Pelodiscus sinensis: one gene and its partner. The protein of the gene in region 1 purifies or fractionates together with the protein of each later gene. This does not show direct contact. Links are inferred from orthologs where the notes say so. Each region holds a gene or a part of one and is shown on either strand. Other genes may lie near its edges. The genes, in order: DCAF1 and COPS4.

Region 1 (11,429 bases):
AAACCGGACAGATGGGAACCTTAAAGAGCCACATTTCTATGAGCAAAGAGCGGCTCAAGACCCGTGGGTTGGCCACCCCACCTTAGATAGACCTGAACGGAAGTGTGGAGGTCTCCAGAAGGACCAGGCTTAGGTAAAATGCCTCGTTGCACTCGCTAGTACAGGACATGGCTGTGTGTATGGCCATAACCAAATAGCAATTGCACTTGTTTGCTTTGCATCAGATCAGGCTTCTGGAATTTCAGGTCCTCCTACAGCCACTTTTTATTGAGCAAAGAAGCTTATGAAATGTTCTAGGGAATAAAATTTGCTTGCCTACTTGATAATCCTATGAAACATCAGGAAGAAATAACCTATCACCCACACAATATAATAAACAGAAGAGGCCGCAAAGAGACTTAGAGCAAATGTGTGTGTCCTGGTACACATGGTATCCTGAGGCACTAATAGAACTCATCTGGTACAGCGCTTGTGACCTCATAAGACCAGCTGATCCATTATGAAGTCTGCAGTGACCAGGTATATTTCAGCCTGAAACTGATCACCTTGGGCTCAAGTCCTATATTTCAGGAGAAACTGGATTAGGGGGACTAGCACTTGGATGGGAGACCTCTGTGAAGACCCCATGTGCTGCAGGAGATGATATTTGGGGCAGTCTTCCTTGTAAATCAGTGCTGAAGGAGGGCATTCTAGCAGAACAGTAGGAGATGCTAGTGGTGGAGGTTAAGATCCCCTGGCATATTTCACGGTGGAAGGGATAATTGGAGAGTTGTCCTGGGCAAGTTCCAGTATAGGTGATTGCAGTTGCCTTCATAACACCCATCTGCAGCTTCTTCTTTTCTAGCTCATTTACCTGGCATTGCTTGGGTCCTTAAGGAGGGGCTCCAGGCAGGTGGCTGGGTGTGAGTGTGTGTGTGGTGGGAGGAGGGGCTGAAGCCCTTCTCCCCCACTCCAAGATGCATACCAGAGCCGATTGCTCTTGCTCCTGGACAGGAAGGGGAAGAGCAAAGTGCTTAGCTTGTCTGCCCCCTGCAATCACCCAGCCAGAAGTGAGGAATGCAGAAAACGGTGCACTCCCCCTTGCTTCCTGACAAAAGGGAACAGCCAGAAATGTCCCCACATGAATGGGGGGGGGGGGGGAGGGAGGTAGGAGAGAGAGCTTCAGCCTGTGAGGTGAGAACCTCAGGTCCGGAGCAGTCTCAGATGCAGGGAGGGCAGAGGGGGGCACTCCTCAGCCAGCACCTTTCCCCTGCCTGGTGATTCTCTCTGCTCCTCAGACCGAACAGAAATCCCATTCCAGGCCTATCCCATTTTCCTGGCACAACCCAATCCTCATTAGAGCTTAAAGCAAGGCAAGAGGAAGCTGCATACCAAGTTTGGTGACCCTAGTTCTTCCCGTTTAGGAGTTGTTCTTGGACAAACTCAAACACGTAGTTCTTACACAATTGCTGCATGCTGCTAAACCACTGCAAAGTTTCATCCTAGCGGCAACTAACTTAACTTCACTGGAGCTCTCTTATCCCTACTGCCTCAGCTGGGGGCAGCGTAAGATATCGGATTGGAATTTGCTTTGAGATCTAAAGCTAATGCCAATTAAATATTATTTGCAAATCCTTTAAGGACCTACATGTGAAAAGTCTGAATTACTAAGGCCTCTCCAGCCTTAATTCCTGTTTCTCTTTCAGTCTCGTCATCAGGTACAGTACAGGTTACCATTTAACCTTCCCCCAAAGGTGAAGTGTCCTTGGAGCTATTTAGAATTCAAAAGTGTATGTGCACTCCGGCACCTGTAAGTACTATGCCCTAGTTTCATTAATCTGTGCATTGTTTTCACAAACGTCAAAACTGACACATCCAGGCAATCGACCCGGTTAAGGAAGACCCACAGGGTGCAGAAATTAGGTACGAGCGCAGATCCAAAATACCCCCCCCAAAAAAACACGGATGGTGTCTTCTCAGATATTTAATTTCTTGAGAACTCTAAGAAGGCTGCACCACCTTAAAAGCCACATACTACTGCCTCCCCCCTTTTTTTTTTAAAATAAAGCTGGTGTGCTCAGAGTCAACCCCATTTGAGTTGGAATGGAACTAGAAGCTCAGCTCATGTCCAGGGTCCAGATCCAGAATTAGGGCCCAGCAGGGTCAGATGAACTTGTCTGCAAGCCCTACACTCTGGGACAGGACCCAGAAGAGGTGTGTGTGGGAGGGGGTGAGAGTGCTGACTGAGTGTGTGGGCTCTGGGGGTGCAGAAGGAGGCTCCAGGCTGAAGCCAAGGGATTTGGACTGCAGAAGAGGGCTCCAGACGGGAGGTTGGGGTGAGGTTGCACAGTCTGGGCAGGAGTTAGGGTGCTGGAATGTGCTCAGGGCTAGGGTTCAGGGTTGGTTATGGGGTCTAGGGGGAGATAGGGCTGGCTGTGCTGAGCCACCTGATTTCACATCCTCAGGCCCTGTACCCAGAATCCCTTGTTGCACCCTATCTTGCACTCCCCTGCAAGCTCCGCCCCCGCACACAGCTCCCATTGGCAATGGGAGCTGCGGGGCAGAACCCACTGACAGAGGCAGCACAGGGATGTGGTGTCCCCTTGGCGCTCACTGCTATGTGGCTCCAGCCCATTGGAGGGCAGGGAGGAGGGAAGGACAGCAGGCAGGAGAATCTGGGGCCTTGAACTGCTCCCGTTCCTAGGTCTGTCGCCTCTGCCTGGTGTCTGTCCCCTCCTCCCCCCCGTCTTCTACTGCTGTTTGTTTTGTACAGCTGTCCCTGTTAACGTACCAAAGGACTGGTTGGCATGTTTCTTACTGAGAAGGTTCAGTTAGTTTCCTTCTTGCTCCTCACACTAAAATGGCATGATCCTGGTGAACCTGCTTGTGATTGGACTGGTCACACCCGTCATTCAGATAGTCAGCTGGTGTGCAGGAATTGTCCCAGGATTGCTAGTCACTCCAGCATGTAAGGAATTTGGAGCAGGCTCTGTGTCGCCTACAATGTGTACAGCTGTATTTAGGCAGGTGCAGGGTATCCCTACCCACTGCTGCCCAAACCCAGGGCCCTTTCCAGACACCTCGGTCCAATCGAAAGCATACAAAGGCAGGTTAAATACACTGAGGACAAACTGGCTGGCTTCACAGGCTTCTGGTGGCCTGAATCTGGTCCATTAAGCAATGTCCGAAACTCAGTGCCTGAAAACTAAGTACTGTGCATGGGAAATTGGTATAGAGGGAGGGCCGACACTCCCTGTAAACCCCCTTTGGGATGGGAGGGACTGGCGGAGGAGTATCCCTGACAGATAGTGACTGCTCTGCTATTGCCAGTTTCCAACAATACTTAGGTGGTTCTCCACTGTGGCTGCTCCAGAAGCGGGTGGCAGGTCGAGCTAGACAGCGCCAGAGTGGGGCTGAGTGTTTCCATTGCAGTGTACACGCAACACGGCAACCAGGAGTATCCGGCATGCATAAGAACGGGGAAAGGGTCTCAGGGCTGCACCATTGGCTGGACTGGGGTAGAGGCAGAGTGACTGCTGCTAGGTCATTCAAAGAAAAGCCTCTGGCTTTCCCAAGAGCAATGCCTCCTATTTCCTAACAAAGAGGCAGATTTGTTCAGTCCGTCTATAGCACCAAAAACTGCTAAATTACTGTAGATCCTTTAGGTTGCAAGATAGGATCAGAGTTTAGTCTCTATAGCTCAGCTCCTGCTCTTGTATCCTTCCATAAAGCATCAGCAGTTAAAGACATGAGTGCTCTACTCTGTGGTAGAGTGGGGGGACAGGTCCAAGTGCTAATAGGAGACTGAACTTCTCGCTGGTTCCTCTCACTGGACGTGGGGTTACACTGCAGGGGTCAGTATCCACCGATTCAGTAACTATCGCTACAGCCTCCCTTAACACAAATCGATAATTAACAAAAACACCCCCCCACAACACAACACAACACTGTCTACATGCTCCTGCAGTCAGTTAATAAAGCCCTATGGAAGGGCAGACTCACCTCGAAAGCACTTTCTCCTAGCCAGGCATGCCATAGCAGGCTGTCCTTCCCAGTGCCACCTGCTGACAGTCACTCCAGTCCAGACCTACCGCAGTTCAGGTCTCCTTGTAAGCCCTGGCCCAGTCATGTTTATTCCTGCCTTTTCTCTGGTACATCACACCCAAACCCACATGACAATGCCTAGTCCCGTCACCCTCTCTGCTCAGGCGTGAAGATAGACAGGCCTTCCCGGAGGGGCTTCACATTTGACCATTCAAACAAACTCCCACCCCTTTACCAAGTGGGCAGGCTCCCCCCCCCCCACAAGAACCCTTTCTCTCCTGCCGTTTTCAGACTCCCTCATCCACAGCTCCATTTTTAACCCTCATTTGGGTCCCCTGCAGTGAAAATCACCATCTTCTGGAAGCTTCACCTTTTAACTGCCCATTACAAGGATTGTTTCCATATTGCCAGTGGCCTTCCCTGACACCCTCAGCTTCCTAGATTTCCTGTGCAAATCCTGTATCTTCCTTCCCCCAGATATCATGCTGGGATTCTCAGAAGCTCTCCCCTATTTCTATTTCACAGCAGAGTCTCTAGATCTCCCAGGCACTATTCAACTTTCCACCACCCCTCAGCTGGTTTTCTTCCCAGATTTCTCTTCCAGGGCCTTGTGCTTCTTCCTTTATGCAGGCCCAGCTTTTCCCCAGCTGGGACTGATCTCCAGTTAGCCTGCCACCCTCTGCAGGCATCTGCAGCTGGTCTAAGTGGGCTCAGGTTCCTGTTAACCCCTGCTTAATCAACGTGGGGATTTATACACCTCGTCACAGAGCACAAATGGAGATGTGGAGGGTGGAGTTTAGGGTGAGGTTTCCACCTTCACAAGGGATTATCACACACCTGCATAAAGTCTCTCTGCAGCTGGGTGGCTTTCTGAAGACATGATCCGTTCTTGTTCTTAAAACAGGCCCTTTTGGATGGCTTGCTCAGGCCCGAAGGCGGAACCTGTGTTTGCCGCTGTTAATGTTTGTGAGTTGCGAGAAAGGTATTTGTCAGAACACGAGCATTGCCAATAATATTCTGGATGTTCTTTGGAAACAGAGCCAGAGTCAGCATCCTTGTGGGGTCCCTTTAGATCGGGGTCACAATGCAATTTACCTTAGGGTCAGTGCCCATCCCCAAATCCTCCTTGTGGGCCAGCGGGAACCCCGCTCTGACAGAGCTCCCCTATCTCAGCGGGGCTGGAACGGCTTCCGGCTGCCAGCTCTGTGCCACTGCCGGCATGTCCCTGCGGCCTGGGGGACACGTGTGCAGAGCTAACCTGTGTGCTTTGGGGGGTCCCGTGCCAGTTGCCCCAACCATTCTATGGACAGGAGGGTCCTCCCTTTTCAGCTTAGCCTGCGCATCCTTGGGCAGGCTGGGGCAGGAAACAGAGTCACCCCCCCACACTCACCGCGTCACCGGCAGTCTCAGGGAAGCGGAGCTACACAGCAGCCTGCTCCACTCCACTGTCATCTCCCAAGCAGCCCACACTGGAGCAGGGAGTAGCAGAGCGATTGGGCTGGCCTGGGAGATGAGGGTGGAGCAGAGGCTGCTGAGTTGCTCTGCTTCCCTGTGGCTCCCACCACCACAGCGAGTGTGGGGAGGCCTGACACCTACTACTGCCCTGTGCCAGGCCCCTCAAGGATGGGGTGCAGTGGGGGGGGGGGGAGGTGGAGCAGGGCTGGGAAGAGGCAGGATGGGAGCAGAGCAAAGGCTGGATTTGGGGGAAGGGTACAGATACCCCTCCCTCCTCCAAGGCCACAGGGACTCAGCGTGCCAGCAGCCATGCAAGGGCTGGATTGTGGAACTGCTTGGGCCACAGATGCCTCCTGGGCCGTGAGTCTGAGACCCTTGATTTAGCTGCTCCTCCTTTTCCATGAGTCTTTGGAACTTTTCAATGCTGGAACTGCTGGTCCTAATGAAGTGTGCTGCGGCGTGCTTGGGGAAGTGTATCCATGCCAGACATGGATCTTATGCATCCATCCCACTGGCTCTTTTATCTCTGCCTCTTACTTGCATTGACTTTTTTCTGCTCTCACATCTGACTGTGCATAGTCAGGACAGACAAGGTGTGTTTTGAACTGATCTAGCAAAAGAATTAATTCAAATAGTTCCGCACCAGCCTCTTACCACCTATGAACAGCAATTTCATGGCATTTCACCAGTTCTTGCATTCTCTGTCCTGCAGCAACTGAAGAGTTCAGCCTTGAGTCTGTATTTTTGCTGGGAGCATTCATGCCTAGCCCCAGTAGATCTATGGTAGGGGCCTGTGCACCCAAGGAGGAAGGAAAGGGTTAATGCAGACATTGGGAAACAGGAAGTGCTTCAGCTGAAGTTGATGACAGTGCTTATATCCTCAGAAGGGAGCTGGCTGGCTGGAAGAAAAATAGTCTCCCTGAGAGTTTGGAGGAAGGAGGCTGAGCCGAGACAAGCCAACCAGGGCTGTTTAGAACTATCCACTAGCTATCAAGAGAGAAGCGTTCCTATCAGAAGCTGGGTAAAGTAAGCTGGCTGTGGAGCTGTGTTACTATGTGAGCTTGGCCTGAAGCAATAGCAAAGGAAACTTTTGTAACAACTGGACCTGGCTTCACTTAGGAGGGGCTAATTCAGACTCTTAAAGGACTAGTATTGCTGGAATGAACAACTGTGCTATCAGAGCTCTCGCTGCTGGTCCAAGAAGTGGAGCTGCCTGGTTGTGAATCCCTGTAAAGTGTTGCCCTAAAGGTGAAATGTAAGACCCAGTATACACTCCCTGGCCAGGAAACAAACTGGTGCCCGAGAAAGACAAGGATTGATGTGACCCACAGGAATGGATACAAGCTGCCATTTTGCAGCAGAAGTTGCTGGTTCAACAGAACCAGCAGGAGCCGCAGCTGCTGGCGATAGCTAGTCCTGTTGATGAATCCGGTCGTCTTATTCAACCCAAATGCATCAAGCCGGGTGGTCTCCATGGCACCAGGCCTTTTGTTAATTAAGATGTGACCAGTCGATGACCCAGAAGCCTTCCTAGAGGTTTGTGAACGAGTGGCCATAGGTACTTGTAGGACCTCCAGTCTGAAGGTTTCTGCTCTGCATCAGCCCTGTCTGAACCTCAAGCTAGGGGCATGTGAAACTGGACTCGCAGCAAGTGAGAGCTGTCGTTCTCCTTCCATTCAGCCTCTTCTGTTTTGGGGGACATGTCTCCGGTTGACTCTTCTATTCCAACATTTGCCTTCTCTATTGCAATAAGGGAAGAGCAAGGTGGTTGCAACCCTGGATGTGCATATTTACGACACATACAGATCCACGTTCTTCTGCGGGTTGAAATGCTATGATTTAGCAATCTCAGAGACTTCAGTTCCAGGAGGAGAGCGACCCGACTGGGAGAAGGCCCAAAGTCATCGTTATGGTCTGGCGAGAAATAGTTAACGCTCGATTCAGTCTGCCCCTCCAGTGGGACCGATAGTTTTGGAGCAATCAATGCACCTGTTGCCTCTTGGAGCGGAAGAATGGGTGTGCTCGCATCAGGCTGAGACTGAACCATAACATTTCTCTGAAGCAGAGCTGGCAGTGGAGCAGTGGTAGCTCAGTTTAGCTATAATCTGGGCCTGCTCTAGCCTGAGGTAAAACTGAAGGGACAAGTTACAGAGAGAGAGAAAACCCCTCCACTCTGTCTCCAAAGGACTTAAAATGTTCCAGTAGCTTTCAGCTTAGTCCCTTGCTATGCAGTGAGGAAACCTAAGCAGGGTTGGAAGCAATCTTACCCTGTTGGCAACTCTGAGAGGATGAAGCACTGGAGAATTTGCATTTCCACTGCTGGAAAGAGAGGTGCCCCCTGCTACAGAAGATGCCCGCCAGTGGAATGGAAGCATCACTTTGCGAGATGGATCACAGGACAGGTCGGGATGGGAATCTCTCCTTTTCTTTCTCCCAACTGGATTCTCGTGCAAGCTAAAGAATCTAAGCACTGTTGGATTCTGCCTGCAGCTAGACTGTCATGAAAAGGACTTAATCCCATTGGCCCTAACCCCCTCAAGAATTGAATCCCACCTATGGGACACTTGAGGGAAGGTGGAAAAACCATCCCTTTTTGAAAGTCTGTCAATATGGCACCTATAGCCCAGGATAGGAAAATGACATATCTTGTTCATCCTCAAGGACTACTGCTGGAGGTGGCCGAGGATCCAGAGGAAATGGAAGACTGCTCTCATAAAACCTTCCTGACATCACGTCCCCTTACAAGATGAAGAGTCCTTCCCAGCAGAGGTTTGGCCCTACAAAACTAGAGAAGGTGGTCGGAAGGGAGGTGCACTTGCGTAGAGAAAACGGGGAGTTGTGTGACTAAACAGAAGAACAGTGGGAACTAAGATGGGACTGGACTACAGGGAACGAGTCACTTGAGCATTGCTCTGTTCTGCTCATTCTCTCTGAAGCATCTGGCACTGTCAGAAGACCGGATCCTAGATGGACCCCGTATGGCCGTTCTTATATCCTTAACAAACCCGCAGAGGAAGAATGAATGTCCATGCTTCACATCCGTGAAAGTGAAGTGCAGAGGTAAACTCAGTCTGGGAAGGTTGGTGGGTTTATCCAATAGTATTCTAGAACAGAGGGAAGAGGATTCCTTCTGCCCCCTTTGAGTTGCACATAGCTGTTACAGAAACAGTCTGATTTTGCTTTCTACATTTTGTGCTAAGAACAGCCTATTATACAGGATGATGAAGGGAACATCCAGGGCCCAGGAGAACTTAATCTACCTTGTAAACATAGTACCTTGAATTAGCAGTCTCCTCCAAGGAGAAGAGACAACCGAGGTGGAAGAATACCTCTTCCCAGAGCGAAAGAAACTGGATCTAGACTTGATAGCTCAATTTTGTTATGCCCTGTTTGATCCAGTTGACACAGACCAAGTTGGTCTGACATGGATCCAGAACTAAGTGGTGTGACAATGGCCACACACCAGTACTGGCTTTGATGGGTGCAGCAGTGAAAAATAATTAGAAGATGAATGTGGGTTTAACTGAGGAATTGCATAGTAAAGCCCCCCCCCCAATTGTCCGGGTCTAGAAGCAAAATCGCATGAATCCACTTACCATTTGCTCTTAGATATATGCACTTCCTAAGAGGATATATACATGCCTACTCCATGCCATGAATGGACATGTGATGAAAAGATGCTGGCAAATCCTGCACACTAAGTTGTTACAGCAGCCCGACTCTGTCCCCTACTCTAAGCCCTAGCTCATGTTCCCTCCCTGAGATTAAATAAACTTGTCCAAGTAATTTGTGCAAGGACAGAGCCAGAACTGGAGCAGGTCAGTCTCCCTTTTTGCTCTGTGCCTGGTGAAAAGCTGCCCTGTGGCCTAAGCAAACTGCTTTGAATGCTAGAAAGAAGCTGGAGCTGGGAAGAGAGATTGACCAGTATTCATCAATATTGCACTTCATGGTCGTGGAGCAAAACAAGAAGGGAAAGAAATTATTGGGTTGAATAAAAGGAAGCTCAAAAATAAACAAATGCCACGAGTTAAGGAACAGACGAGACTAAAGTGTAATGGTGACAATGAGAGGTTGTTTTATCTGCATGATATATTCACCCATGGCGTGGTAAAGTACTGGACCCGTCATCCCTACCCCAAATTCCTAGACTGGACTTTGGTACAAGTAAAGACTGTCTCAGATATTCCATCCCAAGCTTTATGGTGAATAGTGTTTTGGAGTGTACTCTGCTATGTGGCTCTTCATATATTACAATCTGAGTGCACAGTTTTAACTACTTAACTTTTGAGAGATTAGGAACATGAGATGACTTGCTGTAGTGCCATCTATGAAAGGAGTACCAACCATCTTGGAAGGAATGTACCTGCTGATCTGTTTGTCAGTGCTTCTGTACCACCCTACTACAATATAGCAGTGGTCCCCAACGCGGTGTCCGTGGGTGCCATGGCATTTATGTGCACCCGCCTAGTGACCAGGGCCGGCCCAAGCCATTCTTGCGCTCCAGGCGTATGCGCGGCTCCCGTCCCAGGTGCGCGGCGCATGTACGGGCCCCGCCCATGGGCACCCGGAAGCCCCAAAAGGTTGGGGACCACTGATATAGTTGTAACAACTCAGAGCAGATGTGTCCTTGCACACTCACCTGGCTGATTGGAGCCAACTTATCCCCGGAGTAACTCCTATGTGATCAGTGATGGAGCAGGTGCCATTGAAAAGTAATATGGTTATAGTAGTCCCAATAATTAAAACTTATATATTATGCTTGACACCTGGCTACATCCACAAGCATGCAGTCAGGCTGTTATCCTGCAGTCCCATTGTTGGTAACCGCAGGCTGGGTAGGTAAAATTTGGAAAGAAAAGCAATTCTTATTTATGTTTTATTTTCATGCAGGTGGTTCTCACACAGCTATTGAGAAATTTGCACGAAAAACTGGCCTGTACCCTAAAAAGTCTGTGTTGGCATTTAGCAGGTAAAGAAGCTGGCTGTTCTTCTGCAGGGAATGCCCAACCTAAGCCTTTCTTGGTAACTTTCCAGGGGCTGGAGGCTACACCCGACTTATGTAAAATGGGTCAGTTCGCAGCTGCTCTCGTCTTGTCTGTAATAGGGGTGTGTGTCTTGGCATGCAGGTCTCCATTTTCAGTACTGGAACTTCTAGTTGACAAAACAAACCAGTCCTCCCTTCCCCAAGCTGCTGTACTGGTTGTAGTACTCATTCTGGGCTTTGGGCTGTTCATAGGTCCCTTGTGTCTTCTGGGGGTGGAAAAGGGAAGGGAGGGGAAGAGAGTGGTGGTGAGGTGGGGGCAGGGGGAGGTTGGCAGCTGGGAGGCTGTTGCATGGTTTGTGGGGTGTAGGGATCTCTGGTTGCATGGTATCTGTGTTGTCTCTTGCCCTGGCTTGAATTCCTGTCTCACCCCTTCCTGCTTGGCCTGTATGTGTGTGTGTGTGTGTGTGTGGGGGGGGGGGTATCTACATGTAGCTTTTTAAGTGCGAACTCCTGCCTGGGGGGGCGGGTTGAGACTACTGGGGACAGAGCTGGGATCCCATTCAGGCCAGGTCCAGTTTGGAGGGGGCAGCGTAGAGGCCGGGGCTGGGCACAGGAGGAGGAGGCCGGTGCCATATCGGTTTGCAAGTGGCGTGGGGCAGCGGCTCCTGCGCCCCTGCTCTGCACGCAATGAATAGAGCCCGCAGCCACGGAGAGAACTACATCTCCCAGCCTGCCCCGCGTCTCTTAACCCCCCTCCCCGGCGGTGGAGCAGGAGCGCATGCGCGCTGGAGCCGTTCGCCCCCGAACTCCGTTTCCCTAGAGGCCGAGCGCGAGCTTCTCCCCTTCGCGCGCCGTGACGGCGCCGCAGCGCGATGACGCGGAAAGTGTGTGCCCGCCATAGCAATCGCCGCCGCCGCGCTGCGTGCGGGGCCGAGCGCGGGGGCCGGGAGCAGCGGCGGGGACCCAG
Region 2 (12,166 bases), on another chromosome or scaffold:
GCCCGCCCCCAGGCGCGCAGTGCATCCATTGTCTCTATTCTGCTGTTCTCCCTTCTACCCTTTCTTAGAATTGTGAACTCTATGATTTCATGATCACTGTCACCCAAGCTGCCTTCTGCTTTCAAATTCTCAACCAGTTCCTCCCTATTTGTTAGGATCAAATCTAGAACAGCTTCCCCCCAGTAGCCTTTTCAACCTTCTGAAATAAAAAGTTGTCCCCAAGTTGTCCAAGAACTTATTGGATAGTTTGTGCCCCGCTGTGTTATTTTCCCAACATATATCTGGATAGTTGAAGTCCCCAATCACCACCAAATCTTGGGGTTTGGAGGATATTGATATTGTTAGTTGTTTAAAAAAAAGCCTCATCCACTTCTTCCACCTGGGTAGGTGGCCTGTAGTAGACTTCTAGCATGACATCAAATAATAAATATGGTGTTGCACCATGGATTGAGAAGAGGACTGAAGAAGACTCCGACTCCAAAATAGGTCTAATTGGCCCATTTTAACCAGTTGAAGCTAGTTCAATGTACTGCATTTCAGATACACCTGCCCATGTGCAGATATATGTAGAGTTCCATATTTCAGTGGGTTTAAAAAAGTGGAAAATCCACGTACTGAATGGGTCAAGGGATTTTAGAATAAAGTACTTAACATTTCTAAACCAATGTCTTCAAACTTGACAAAAGCACTTGGCCTCACTGAGGACGAAGTTCACAGCAACTACAGTGGAACCTCAGAGTTATGGGCTGACTGGTCAACCACACGCCACATTTGGAGCCAGTGGTAGATAATCAGGCAGGAAGGAAAAATAAAAATAAACTATGTTTACAAAGTATGACAAAAAGAAAGGAAACAGAAGAAGTTTAATTTAAATTAAAATGGTTAAAAGCAGCACACTTCTGCATACTACAGCTTTGAAACTTTAGTAAGTCAATGTTCATTTGTAAACTTTTGAAAGAGCCATGTTCAGAGATGCAAACCTTTCAGAGCTACAACTAACTTTCATTCCTGAGATGTTCATAATTCTAAAGTTAAACTGAGATTTTACAAAACTATAATGAATTCTATTTAATGCACACAAAGTTAGGCCAACACATTTTTCAGAAAGTTATAGAAACAGGTCTAAGGGCCTAGCTGAATTATCCAAGTGTGAGCACTGGGTACTATAGGTGTTCAGCACTTCTCAGAATCTCTGACATACCTTGGAAGGATGACTGTAACACAGCTAAGTATCACCTACACAAGCAAAACGAATTTATGCTACAACATATTTACAGAGTTAGGAATCATGACAACATGACCAGATCTTGGCGAAAAATGCCTTTACAGAAAAAATGCCATGAAATCTCTAATATTATGGGACCAATACAGGTAACATGGCACATATGTGCCACCTGTATTGGTCCCATAATATTAGAGATTTAAAAAAATATATCATTCATGTTGTCTCTATGCTTTCTGTACAAAATGGATTCAATATTTTTATGTTTATTGGCAATTTCTATTGAGCTAACACAAACTGGTTTTTAGTCACTCCAGGTTTATAACCTTGAAGGTTACTTTGTAACATTAACATCTACTCAAACTATGCACAGGGATATTATTTCAGAACGGTGATGCGTCAACAATTTTTTTTTAAAGGAGAAATACTGATGATACACATAGTGTGGTGCAATACTACTATTTCATTGGCCTGTATTTCACTACACCTGTCCAAAGGTAACGAGGATGCACATTGCAAACTAGTGCTTGGCTAGAACTTTAAAGACAAACTGCCCTGTATACATATTTGATGACCATGGCAAACGAGTAGCCACAGTTCATAAAAAGGTTGGAGTCTTTATCACAGCCTATGCCTGAGGAATATCAATCTCATCACCTGCATGAGAAAGCAAGTTTCCCCCCCTTTCTTAAAGCCATAATGTGCCAAGTCCTATAAGAGAGGCCGCGCCCTTTATCCCTTACAGATATATCTAAAAGCTGGCAGGCTGAGCCCTCTCTTTGCCCCTCACTTCTCCCTGCACAAAGCCGCCTGTTGTGCAGATGACACACGGAGCAATGTGCGGGGCCCCTCGCACGTCACTGCCCAGCGCAAGCCGAGCGAAGTCCTGGCAAGGCCCCAGCAGCCGCTCCCAGGGCTCTCCCCGCGGCTCGGCCCGCGCAGGGGGCCCCGCCGCTACCCCGGCCCAGCGCGAGGGTCTCACCGCTCAGGCGAAGCCGCGGCGGGGTCGGCGCCAGGATGCCGGGCGGGGAGGCCGGTCCCAGAGCCAGAGGGGCCGGGCGGCCTCTGGCAGCGGCGGGCGGGGGCGGGGGGCGCCGCCGGGGCGGCTTGGCTGCCGACGCTGGTATGTCAGGGGCCGGGGTTGGATTTCGAAAGATCCGCCATTTTCACCTCGTCATCACCATCGCAGCCCAGCCCGGCACCCAGCGCAGCCCCCGCCCCCGCCGCCGGGCCCCGCCCCCGCCGGGCCGCTGCGCCGCCACCGCCCGGCCCGGCCCCCTGCGCCTGGCGGGGCTGGTTCGCCCGCCTCGGGCACTCCCTCCCCCCCCCCGCTCCCTGTCTCCCACACACTCCCCTCTCTGCCCCCCCACTGCTCCCTGTCTCCCACACTTCCCCCTCTGTCCCCCCACTGCCCCCTGTCTCCCACACACTCCCCTCTCTGCCCCCCCACTGCTCCCTGTCTCCCACACTTCCCCCTCTGTCCCCCCACTGCCCCCTGTCTCCCCCACTCTCCCCTCTCTGCCCCCCCACTGCTCCGTCTCCCACACTGCCCCCCCACTGCTCCCTGTCTCCCACACTTCCCCCTCTGTCCCCCCACTGCCCCCTGTCTCCCCCACTCTCCCCTCTCTGCCCCCCCACTGCTCCCTGTCTCCCACACACTCCCCTCTCTGCCCCCCCACTGCTCCCTGTCTCCCACACACTCCCCTCTCTGCCCCCCCACTGCTCCCTGTCTCCCCCACTGTCCCCCCACTGCTCCCTGTCTCCCCGTCTCCCACACACTCCCCTCTCTGCCCCCCCCACTGCTCCCTGTCTCCCACACACTCCCCTCTCTGCTCTGTCTCCCACACTGCAACCCATCTGCCCCTCCACTGCTCTGTCTCCCCTGTCTGCCCCCCCACTGCTCCGTCTCCCACACACTCCCCTCTCTGCTCCGTCTCCCACACTGCCCCCCGTCTGCCCGTCCTCCCCACCCCCCATATTCCGCCATCTGCCCTTCCTCTCCACCCCCCACACACTCCCCTCTGTCTACCCCCTCCCCGCCCCACACTCCCCTGTCTGCCTCCCCCCACCATCTGCTCCTCCTTCCCATCCCCACACACTCTCCTCTGCCCCTCCTCTCCGCCCCACATGCTCCAGTCTTCCCTTCCTCTAGGCCCCACCCTCATCCCCTCCCTCCCCACACTCCCCCATCTGCCCCTTCACCCCACCCCACACGCTGCCCTCTGTCTGCTCCCCACTGCCTGTCTGCCCCTCCTCTCCGCCTCACACCTCCCTGTCTGCCTCCCACCCTGTCTGCCCTCCACTCCGCCCTATGCATCCCTCAACTTCCTCACCAACTCCCCTACACACTCCCGTCTGTCCCCCACCCCACCCCACACACTCCCATCTTCCTCACCACCCCCCACACACACTCCCCTGTCTACCTGCCCCTCCAGCCCCCCCATCTGCTCCTCTATCCCCCATACACGTCCATCTGTGTACCCCTCCAGACATATCCTGAACCTCCTTCCAGGGAGAGTAGTTCATGAGTGACAGGCACCAAGTGGGGAAAGGTAGGAGTTTTAGAAATAAAAACTGAATGGATGCTACATCTGTAACTAGTACAAAAGCAAGAACCCAACCAGTTAGAAGTGCCAACTGTGAGACAGCTACGTTCCCTGGGTAAGCAAACTTGAACCTTAACATTTTCTAGCATTGGTGAATTAGAGAACTAACCTGGTATCACCTTCGCCAACATATCAACTCGTAAGTTATGAAATAGTTAGACTACAAAGATGCCCGAAAAATAGCAGAGCTTAAGCAAAGATTGTGATACTTAGGGAAAGGGGACCTATTTTACCGCAAGTCATGTTTGTTCCAGAGTTTTTTTTCCCCATTTGAAAACTTAGATTAAAATAAGATACCAACCCAAAAGTGAAATTCTAGATGATTGTATCGAAGTAACAAGACACTGACCATTCTGACACTAGGCTACTGCACTACGTTTTTTCCATTCAACACTTCTAAAACAGTCACATGGCCATTTTGTAAAATGTATCAGAAAACAGCAATCTTAAGAAAAACATAAATATTTGCTGTATTAAAATATTTGTTAGTTAAAGCACAAAAGTATGAAAATAAAAACAAAAAAATAAATTACTCTCCAGCCAAGAATTCTAGGATCTCACATAAAGATTCTTCAAACAATTAGTCATCAACATACAAGATCCTTCAAAGTTAGAGTTTAAGCCCAGAGGGAACTACCAGATCACTTTGTCTGACCTCCTGTATATCACAGGACACCCACACACAAAACCAAGCAAACTAAATTAGACCAAAATATTACAGCCTATAGGAAACTAGAAGGTTGGTCTGAACTACAGAGTTAGTCAGCATAAAGCAGCTTACATAGATCTCACTTTGTAAGTGTCTACACTCCAACGTTGCTCCTGACGATGCATGTCACCCATTACTCCAGGAGGCATAGAGCTTGCATTGATGCATTCAGGGCAACAGTCCTGTGTAGACACTGCATTATTTACATTGCCTGGTGGCGCTCAGTCCTAGGGATGGGGGTTTCAGCTGACCACCAACAGAACCATAGACATGATTCACCACAGTAAATATCAAGGTTGCTGTATTTTGACTTAACTTTGTAAAAGGTCTCAGAATAATAGGGACTTGAGGTGTGGCACCAATGTTTAAGGCAACTGCAATGGCAGGGAACTGATTAAATGAGATATACTCTGATAATTGGGAGAAATGGCCTGCACCTCATATTGCAAGCACAAAGTAAAAAACCGTAAGGTCACTGGAAATCTGACTCAGAGGAAAATTCCTTCCCAACCAACAAATGGTGATCACTTAGACATTAGGGATGTAAATACCCAATTAAAAAGTTAACCAGTGCTACATTATGTAATTTTAATTGGTTAAATTGTCAGTCATGGAGGGGGTGGGGGAATTGTGCAGAGCTGCTGGCATCTCTAGCCTGGCTTCTTGCCTGCTGGCCTACTGTACCACAGGGCTGCTCCAGCCAGCTGGACCCACCATGGTTTAACTGGTTACCAGGTAAGCATGCTGGTAAGGCTAAGTTTAACCAGTTAAAACTTTTACATCCCAATGAGACAGTGCAAATGAGGTGACACTGGTACTGTTGCATCTGATTTCAGTTGGCCTGTATTTTCTTTTTGGGGACATGGAGGGGAGACGGCCAAAAGTCAAACATTTGGCCCTGAACTCCTTAAAAAAAGTTACAACTCACACAAAACAAAAATGCTCTCAATACTTAGGACAGGGGTAGGGAACCTTTTTTGGGTTGAGGGCCACTGACCCACAGAAAAAATCAGTTGAGGGCCACACACAAAAAACCCTCAGACTAAGAGAAAGACACTCCACACATTCTCCACGCCTGGGGGGCCCAGCCTAATATATTTTGTGTGCTGCCCCACCATGGGGCAGGGAGCTGGAGCTAGAGCGCCAGCACAAGATCCCTCATGCAAGGGGGGGTCTGAGCCTTGGGGTTGGATTCGGGCAAGCTGTGGATCTGAGGTTCCCCATCCCTGACTTAGAAGCTGTCATACCTCAAAAATGGGACACCCTTCTCCCCCCAAACACCAAACAAAGAGGCAGCTTACAAAGGAAAAGAAATATCCTCAGAACTTCAACAGAGTCAGAGAACCTCCTCTCTTCTTTAGATATGTGGGAGGATTCATCAGGTATACAAGTCACACATGAGCCCACTGCATTTACCTATGTGATTTTCAGTTATAAATTTGACCTAATTGTAGCTGTATCTTTAAAAAAAACAAAAAAACACTAGATTCATCTTCCAATATAGCATTGATATTAGTTCTACTATTCTCAATTTTGCAAAACACTACCATAATAAAGCTGACAATTTCGACATGTGGCATGCCATTTTGTACTGCAGAGATGCACATCAAGATGAACTTTTGTAATGATTCATCACACTCTATATACTGCCCTATATCTAAACATCCTTATTTATATAATGAGGCAGGCAGGGGAAGCGAAAATACTAGGCACGTTTATTTTGATTTTTTTCCCCCAAGAGATTGCTAGAATGAGGGCCCAAACTGTAAGCCCTGCTTTTCTCTCCTTTTGATCTTTGCTGAAAAAGAGCATGTCGCAGTGAGTCTCAGCTCTTGAGATCTTGAATTCCTTAACATTTTCTAGGGTTAAAGCCACATAAAGAAAGCTCCTCCTTACTATTCAATATATTACACAAATGACTTTAAAATGCCAACCCATTCGTCAGAACAGTCACACATAACCAATGATTTTATTTTTCACGCGCAGGGTCGGCTGTTTCCCTGGCTACTATGGACTGGCAGTGACAAAGGGACAAACAGTCAATACACCCACACACCGGGGCACAAGCCACAAAGGCCCACCCGCTGGCGGGGCACGGCCCCGGCGCCTGCATTGCCAAGGCAGCCGCGCAGACAGCTCAGGCCGGGGCTGCACCGGCCGGATCCCCGGTGCCCGAGGGGCGCAGCGCCAGGAGCGGCCGCGCAGGGCTGCGCCGTGGGCTGGCCGGGCCTGCGCCGCCCGCCCCGGGAGCTGCGCCCAGGCGGCGGCAGCGGGGACCGACTCCTGGCGCTGCAGCCGGGGTCCCCCTCCCCGGCCTGTCCCCGCAGCCAGGGAGCGGGTGGCCCCCAGGGATGGGGGGGGGCTGCACGGCGACGCGCTGGGCTCCCCCCTGACACCCCTTCCTGCTCCCTCCCTTCCCCCCACCCCGCTGGGCCCCCCGCGCTCACACTCACCGGGCTCGCGCTCCCCCCTCCCCCGGGCTCGCGCCGCGGCTGCCCCCTCCTCCTCCCCCTGGGCTCGCGCGCCGCTCTCAGCAGCGGCAGCACCAGGGACAGGTTCCGTGTTTGTTCAAAATCACGCGCCCAGCGCCATTCCACCGCCACATCCCATAATAATGCGCAGCGCCGCCTTGGCAACCGACATAGCGTCACCAAGCGAGCGCAGCTCCTCCCTCTCCCGCCCTTTGGGGCCGGCGCTTCCTTCCAGCCGTTTCCGGGTGCGTCATCGCATCCCGTTGGCTCGTGACCATGTCACGTGCCGCTGCACAGGCACGCAAGGGCTGGCAAGTGCGCAAGGTGAGAGGAGAAGCAGGGGTAGGTGGAGCCTTAAGGAGGAGCCCGGGTGTGCGTGTGTATGGTGCTGCGTGTGCAGCCTGCGTCTCCCACTGATCTGAAATGGTTGGGGAACAGCTGAGAGAGGCCTGGCGATAGTGATGCATTGGGTAAGCATTCCAGCCTCCTCTACTTGTAGCACCCTTCTGGGCACTGGATGCGTGCACTCTGCTATACTGCCCCATAGATAGAAACTGTTTAAGTCAAAACTTAAAACTAGAAGCACCTTAAAGACTAACAAAACATGTAGGTTGCATCTAGACTGGCATGATTTTGCAGAAATACTTTTAAAGGAAAAGTTTTTCTGTTAAAAGTATTTCAGCAAAAGCGCATCTAGATTGGCACGGATGCTTTTGCGCAAAAAGTGTTATTGCGCAAAAGCATCTGTGGCCAGTCTAGACGTGATTTTGCACAAGAAAGCCCCGATCGCCATTTTAGCTACTGGGGCTTTTTTGCGTAAAACAATTATTCCCTGTCTGCACTGGCCCTCTTGAGCAAGTATTCTTGCGCAGGGCTTTTTCCTGAGCAGGAGCATGAAAGTATTTGCGCGAGAAGCACTGATTTTGTACATTACAAAGTCAGTGCTCTTGCGCAAATTCAAGCAGCGTGTAGACAGCTGGCAAGTTTTTGTGCAAAAGTGGATGCTTTTATGCAAAATCTTGCCAGTCTAGACGCACCAATAGAGGGTGATATGAGCTTTCATGGGCAAAACCCACTTCTTCATATGACTGGAATATATCTGAAGAAGTGGGTTTTGTCACAGGAAGCTCATGATACCATCTACATGTTTTGTTAGTCTTTAAGATGCTACTAGACTATTTATTGTTTTTAAATTTTTTCCTGTTACAGACTAACTCAGCTATCCCTCTGAAGCTGCTTGGCTGTGTCTAGACTGGCCAGTTTTTCCGGAAAATCAGCCGCTTTTCTGGAAAAACTTGCCAGCTGTCTACACTGGCCACTTGAATTTCCGCAAAACCACTGATCTCATGTAAGATTGTCAGTGTTTTTGTCGAAATACTATGCTGCTCCCTTTCGGGCAAAAGTCCTTTTGCGCAAATCTTTTGTGCAAAAGGGCTGGTGTAGACGGCTCAGATTTGTTTTCGGCAAAAAAGCCCCGATCGCGAAAATGGCGATCGGGGCTTTTTTGCGGAAAAGCGCGTCTGGATTGGCACGGATGCTTTTCCGCAAAAAGTGCTTTTGCAGAAAAGTGTCCGTGGCAATCTAGACGCTCTGTTCCGAAAATGCTTTTAACGGAAAACTTTTCCGTTAAAAGCATTTCTGGAAAATCATGCCAGTCTAGACGTAGCCCTTAAGTCAAGACACTGAAAAACAGGCAGTGAGTGGTTCCAGTCTTGTTACATCTATAAAATGGGCTAACAAGTGACAGCTTCCTAAGCACTGGGCAAACCTTTCATGAAAGGTGATATGGAAGTGCAACATATGGCATTGCTTTTACCTTGAGCATACACCCTCTTGCAAGGGAAATGTATTCATTCTGTTTAGCTTCTGTACCATAGGTATCCTCCACTTATTTGTAGGGTATGAACAAACCAAGGGAATTTTCCTCACCTCTTAATTATTGGTTTTCTCTCCATTAAAACATTTATCTGCAGTGTTTGCAACTCAAATGTCAGTGTACAAAAAAATAAAAAAAAAAATTGATCTCAGTCTCTTTCCATGGTTCCAGCTGAAGCACAATCCTGAAGATAGCTGCCTGACATTTAAGTAAATAGAACACTCCTTTTGAAATATGAGCTGAGTCCACCTCTCCACTTATGAAAAGCAGCACTCTTGTATGTAGGTGCTATATTTGAAAATTTTAGTTTACATATCCGGACCTCAGTTATACACTGGTAAAATAGGAACAGTATAATTATTCATCTACTTTTAGATAAAACGCTATACACAGATTAGAAAAGGAAAATAAATACTGTAATGTCTGAAATCTTCTGATAACGTATGTACGACAGCCATGCTGTGTACACCACTGAAACACAGCCGACAAGCAACACAGTTCGGAAAGAAACAGAGCTACAAAATATTCCACTCATCAGGCTCTGGCCCTGCTTCCTTCTCTGACCCGAGAGACCGCATGGGAAGGAAAGAACTTATCATCCATCCCTCTCACTGGGGCATGAGATCCTGCATTTCCAGACCTGCCATCTGCACCAGCCAGGCGGGCAATACTGGGAATGACACCTTCCGGAGAAATAGCTCAGAGCGCCTCTCCTGGCCTTAGAGGGAGGAAGGGACTGAGGGTCCCCTCCCAGGTACAGAGTCTGCTTTCGTGTGGGGCCGGGTCAGTACGTCAACCCGCTGGCGGATCAGCCCTTCCGCATCCCAGGGAGGCAGCAACTGGCCAGCAGCGCTCGCGAGGAGGGAAGGACTCCGGGCTGGGAAGGCGTCACGTGACCCTTTTCTCAGGGGCAGGAGCCTTTCTAGCCGACGCTCCTCTATGATACAGCGGGGACGCGGCGGCGGCGGCTTCCCTCTCGTTGGCAGGGGGAGGACCGCGTCTGTCAGTTTGCGCGAGACAAGATGGCGGCCGCGGTGAGGCAGGAGCTGGCCCAGCTCATGAATTCCAGCGGCTCCCACAAGGACCTGGCGGGGAAGTGAGTGCGGGCCGGGCTGGGGGGAGGGGGCGCTCCCGGCTGAGGTGAAGGCGGTTGGCGGGTGCTTGAGGACTAGTCGGGGGTTGCAGGGTCCTGCTTCCTCCGCGAGCCGCGGCCCCTGTGCCTGGCAGGGCGGAGGCGCCCGGGTCTGTCTTGTCACTTCGTGAATGGCAGACGATTAACGGATAAAACGGATTAACGGAAAAACCTGCGCTTATTATTGGTCAATGCTGTCGACTGCACCTACCTACCCCGCCCCCCCCCTCCCCCGCTGCCTCGGGGCGGGGGGATTAACCAGACCCCCCCCCCCTCTCCATTTAATTTAACCAAGGGGCTGTAGATGCTGCAGGCTGGTGCTGAACTGTCCGTTTCAGAACAGTCGGTGTTCCCAGAGCCTTGGGCTTGAAAGACAAAAGAACCCATCTGATGCCCATTGTGTCTTTTTCTAGAGCCAGAGCAATTGTACGGAGAGAGGCGTCCGAGCTTTAAATTCCTTTTAAAAAATCACGTATTTTCTGCGCCGTTGGTATTATGCAGCAGGGTCTCTTGGGAAAAGCCCTAAAAAACACCACCAAACATATAGGCTGTGTCTACATTGGCACCCCTTTCCAGAAAAGGGATGCTAATGAGACACTTGGGAATTGCAAATCCACGGGGGATTTAAATATCCCCGGGGGATTTAAATATCCCCCGCGGCATTTGCATTTACATGGCTGCCGCTTTTTTCCGGCTCGGGGTTTTTGCCGGAGAAAAGCGCCACTGTAGACGCGATTCTCCGGAAAATAAGCCCTTTTCCGGAAGATCCCTTATTCCTACTTTCAAGCGTCTACACTGGCGCTTTTCTCCGGCAAAAACCCAGAGCCGGAAAAAAGCTGCAGCCATGTAAATGCAAATGCCACGGGGGATATTTAAATAAAAGGATATTAATTGTGATACATTTTTTAATTTTAAATCTATGGGCAGATATCGTCAGATACTGGAAAAAGCAATTCAACTGTCAGGAGTGGAACAACTAGAAGCCTTGAAAGCTTTTGTAGAAGCAAGTAAGTATGTATTTGTTGTGTTTATGCATTGTTGACTGAAGACTTGATGCATGTTGGATTACACATGCAGATAAATATAGTTCAGGCTATGTGAATTTTTGATGTGCTGTCCATATTCAATCTTGCATCTGCATCTGCTTGGAGCACCAATCATCAGTATGTTAAAATTAGAGTAACCAAGCAATTAAACAAATTAATTGCCAATAATTTTGTTGCTAAACAATAATAGTCTATCATTTATTTAAATATTTTAGATATTTTCTACATCTACAAATATATTTATTTCAATTATAATATAGAATACAAAGTGAACAGTACTCTCTTTATATTTTATTACAAATATTGCACCCTAAAATTAAAAGAAATAATATTTTTCAATTCACCTAATATAAGTAGTATAGAGCATTCTCTTTATCATAAAAGTTGAATTTACAAAAGTAGAATTAGATATAAAAAACTGCATTCAGAAATAAAACAATGTAGGCTTTAGTGTTTTACAAGTCCATTCAGTCCTGCTGTTCAGCCAGTTGCTCAGACAGTGTTACCTGAAAAATGAGAACAATTGTTCACATGCACTGTTGAATTACACTGCAAAGTTTCTTCTGTCCCTTCATGCTTCAACCACCATTCCAGAGGACATGTGTTCATGTTGATGATGAGTTCTGCTCGATAACATTCCAAACCAGAGCAGACCGACATATGTTCATTTTCATCATCATTTTCACCACCAGCAAAAGGATGGATTTTCTTTTTTGGTGGTTCAGGTTCTGTAGTTTCCATATCAGTGTTACTCTTTTAAGACTTCTGAAAGAATGCTCCTTACCTCATACCTGTCAGATTTTAGAAGGTGCTTCAGATTCTTTAAACCTTGGGTTGAGTCCTATATAGCGATGTTAAATTTTGATTACCAGCTAATTGAGTAGTCAATAGAATTTCCATCAACCTTGCAATGCTGAGTACAAAAGTGCCATCCGAATGCCTGTTTTCACTTTCAGATGACATTGTAAATAAAACACGGGCAGCTTTATCTCCTGTATAGATAAACAAACTTGTTTTGTTTTAGCCCATATCTACTAGGGATATTAGGAAGCATGTAATTTGGTAATTGTGTAGCCAATAAAAATGTCATTTACACAATAAACA

What was found.
Region 2: the proteins of DCAF1 (region 1) and COPS4 purify together in Homo sapiens (affinity purification with mass spectrometry; 4 studies listed by BioGRID, with this or other methods). This does not show direct contact. The link is inferred for Pelodiscus sinensis from reciprocal best matches to the Homo sapiens genes DCAF1 and COPS4.

What each region holds. Positions count from the first base shown.
Region 1 is NC_134721.1:43,462,593-43,474,021, reverse strand, and holds the start of DCAF1 (DDB1- and CUL4-associated factor 1), read left to right. Parts: upstream 1-6,368; 5' UTR 6,369-8,538; intron 8,539-10,368; exon of another isoform or gene 10,369-10,447; intron 10,448-11,295; exon of another isoform or gene 11,296-11,429. UniProt on the Homo sapiens protein: Acts both as a substrate recognition component of E3 ubiquitin-protein ligase complexes and as an atypical serine/threonine-protein kinase, playing key roles in various processes such as cell cycle, telomerase regulation and histone modification.
Region 2 is NC_134715.1:11,682,273-11,694,438, forward strand, and holds the start of COPS4 (COP9 signalosome complex subunit 4), read left to right. Parts: upstream 1-7,340; 5' UTR 7,341-7,478; intron 7,479-9,366; 5' UTR 9,367-9,906; coding exon 9,907-9,980; intron 9,981-10,943; coding exon 10,944-11,023; intron 11,024-12,166. UniProt on the Homo sapiens protein: Component of the COP9 signalosome complex (CSN), a complex involved in various cellular and developmental processes.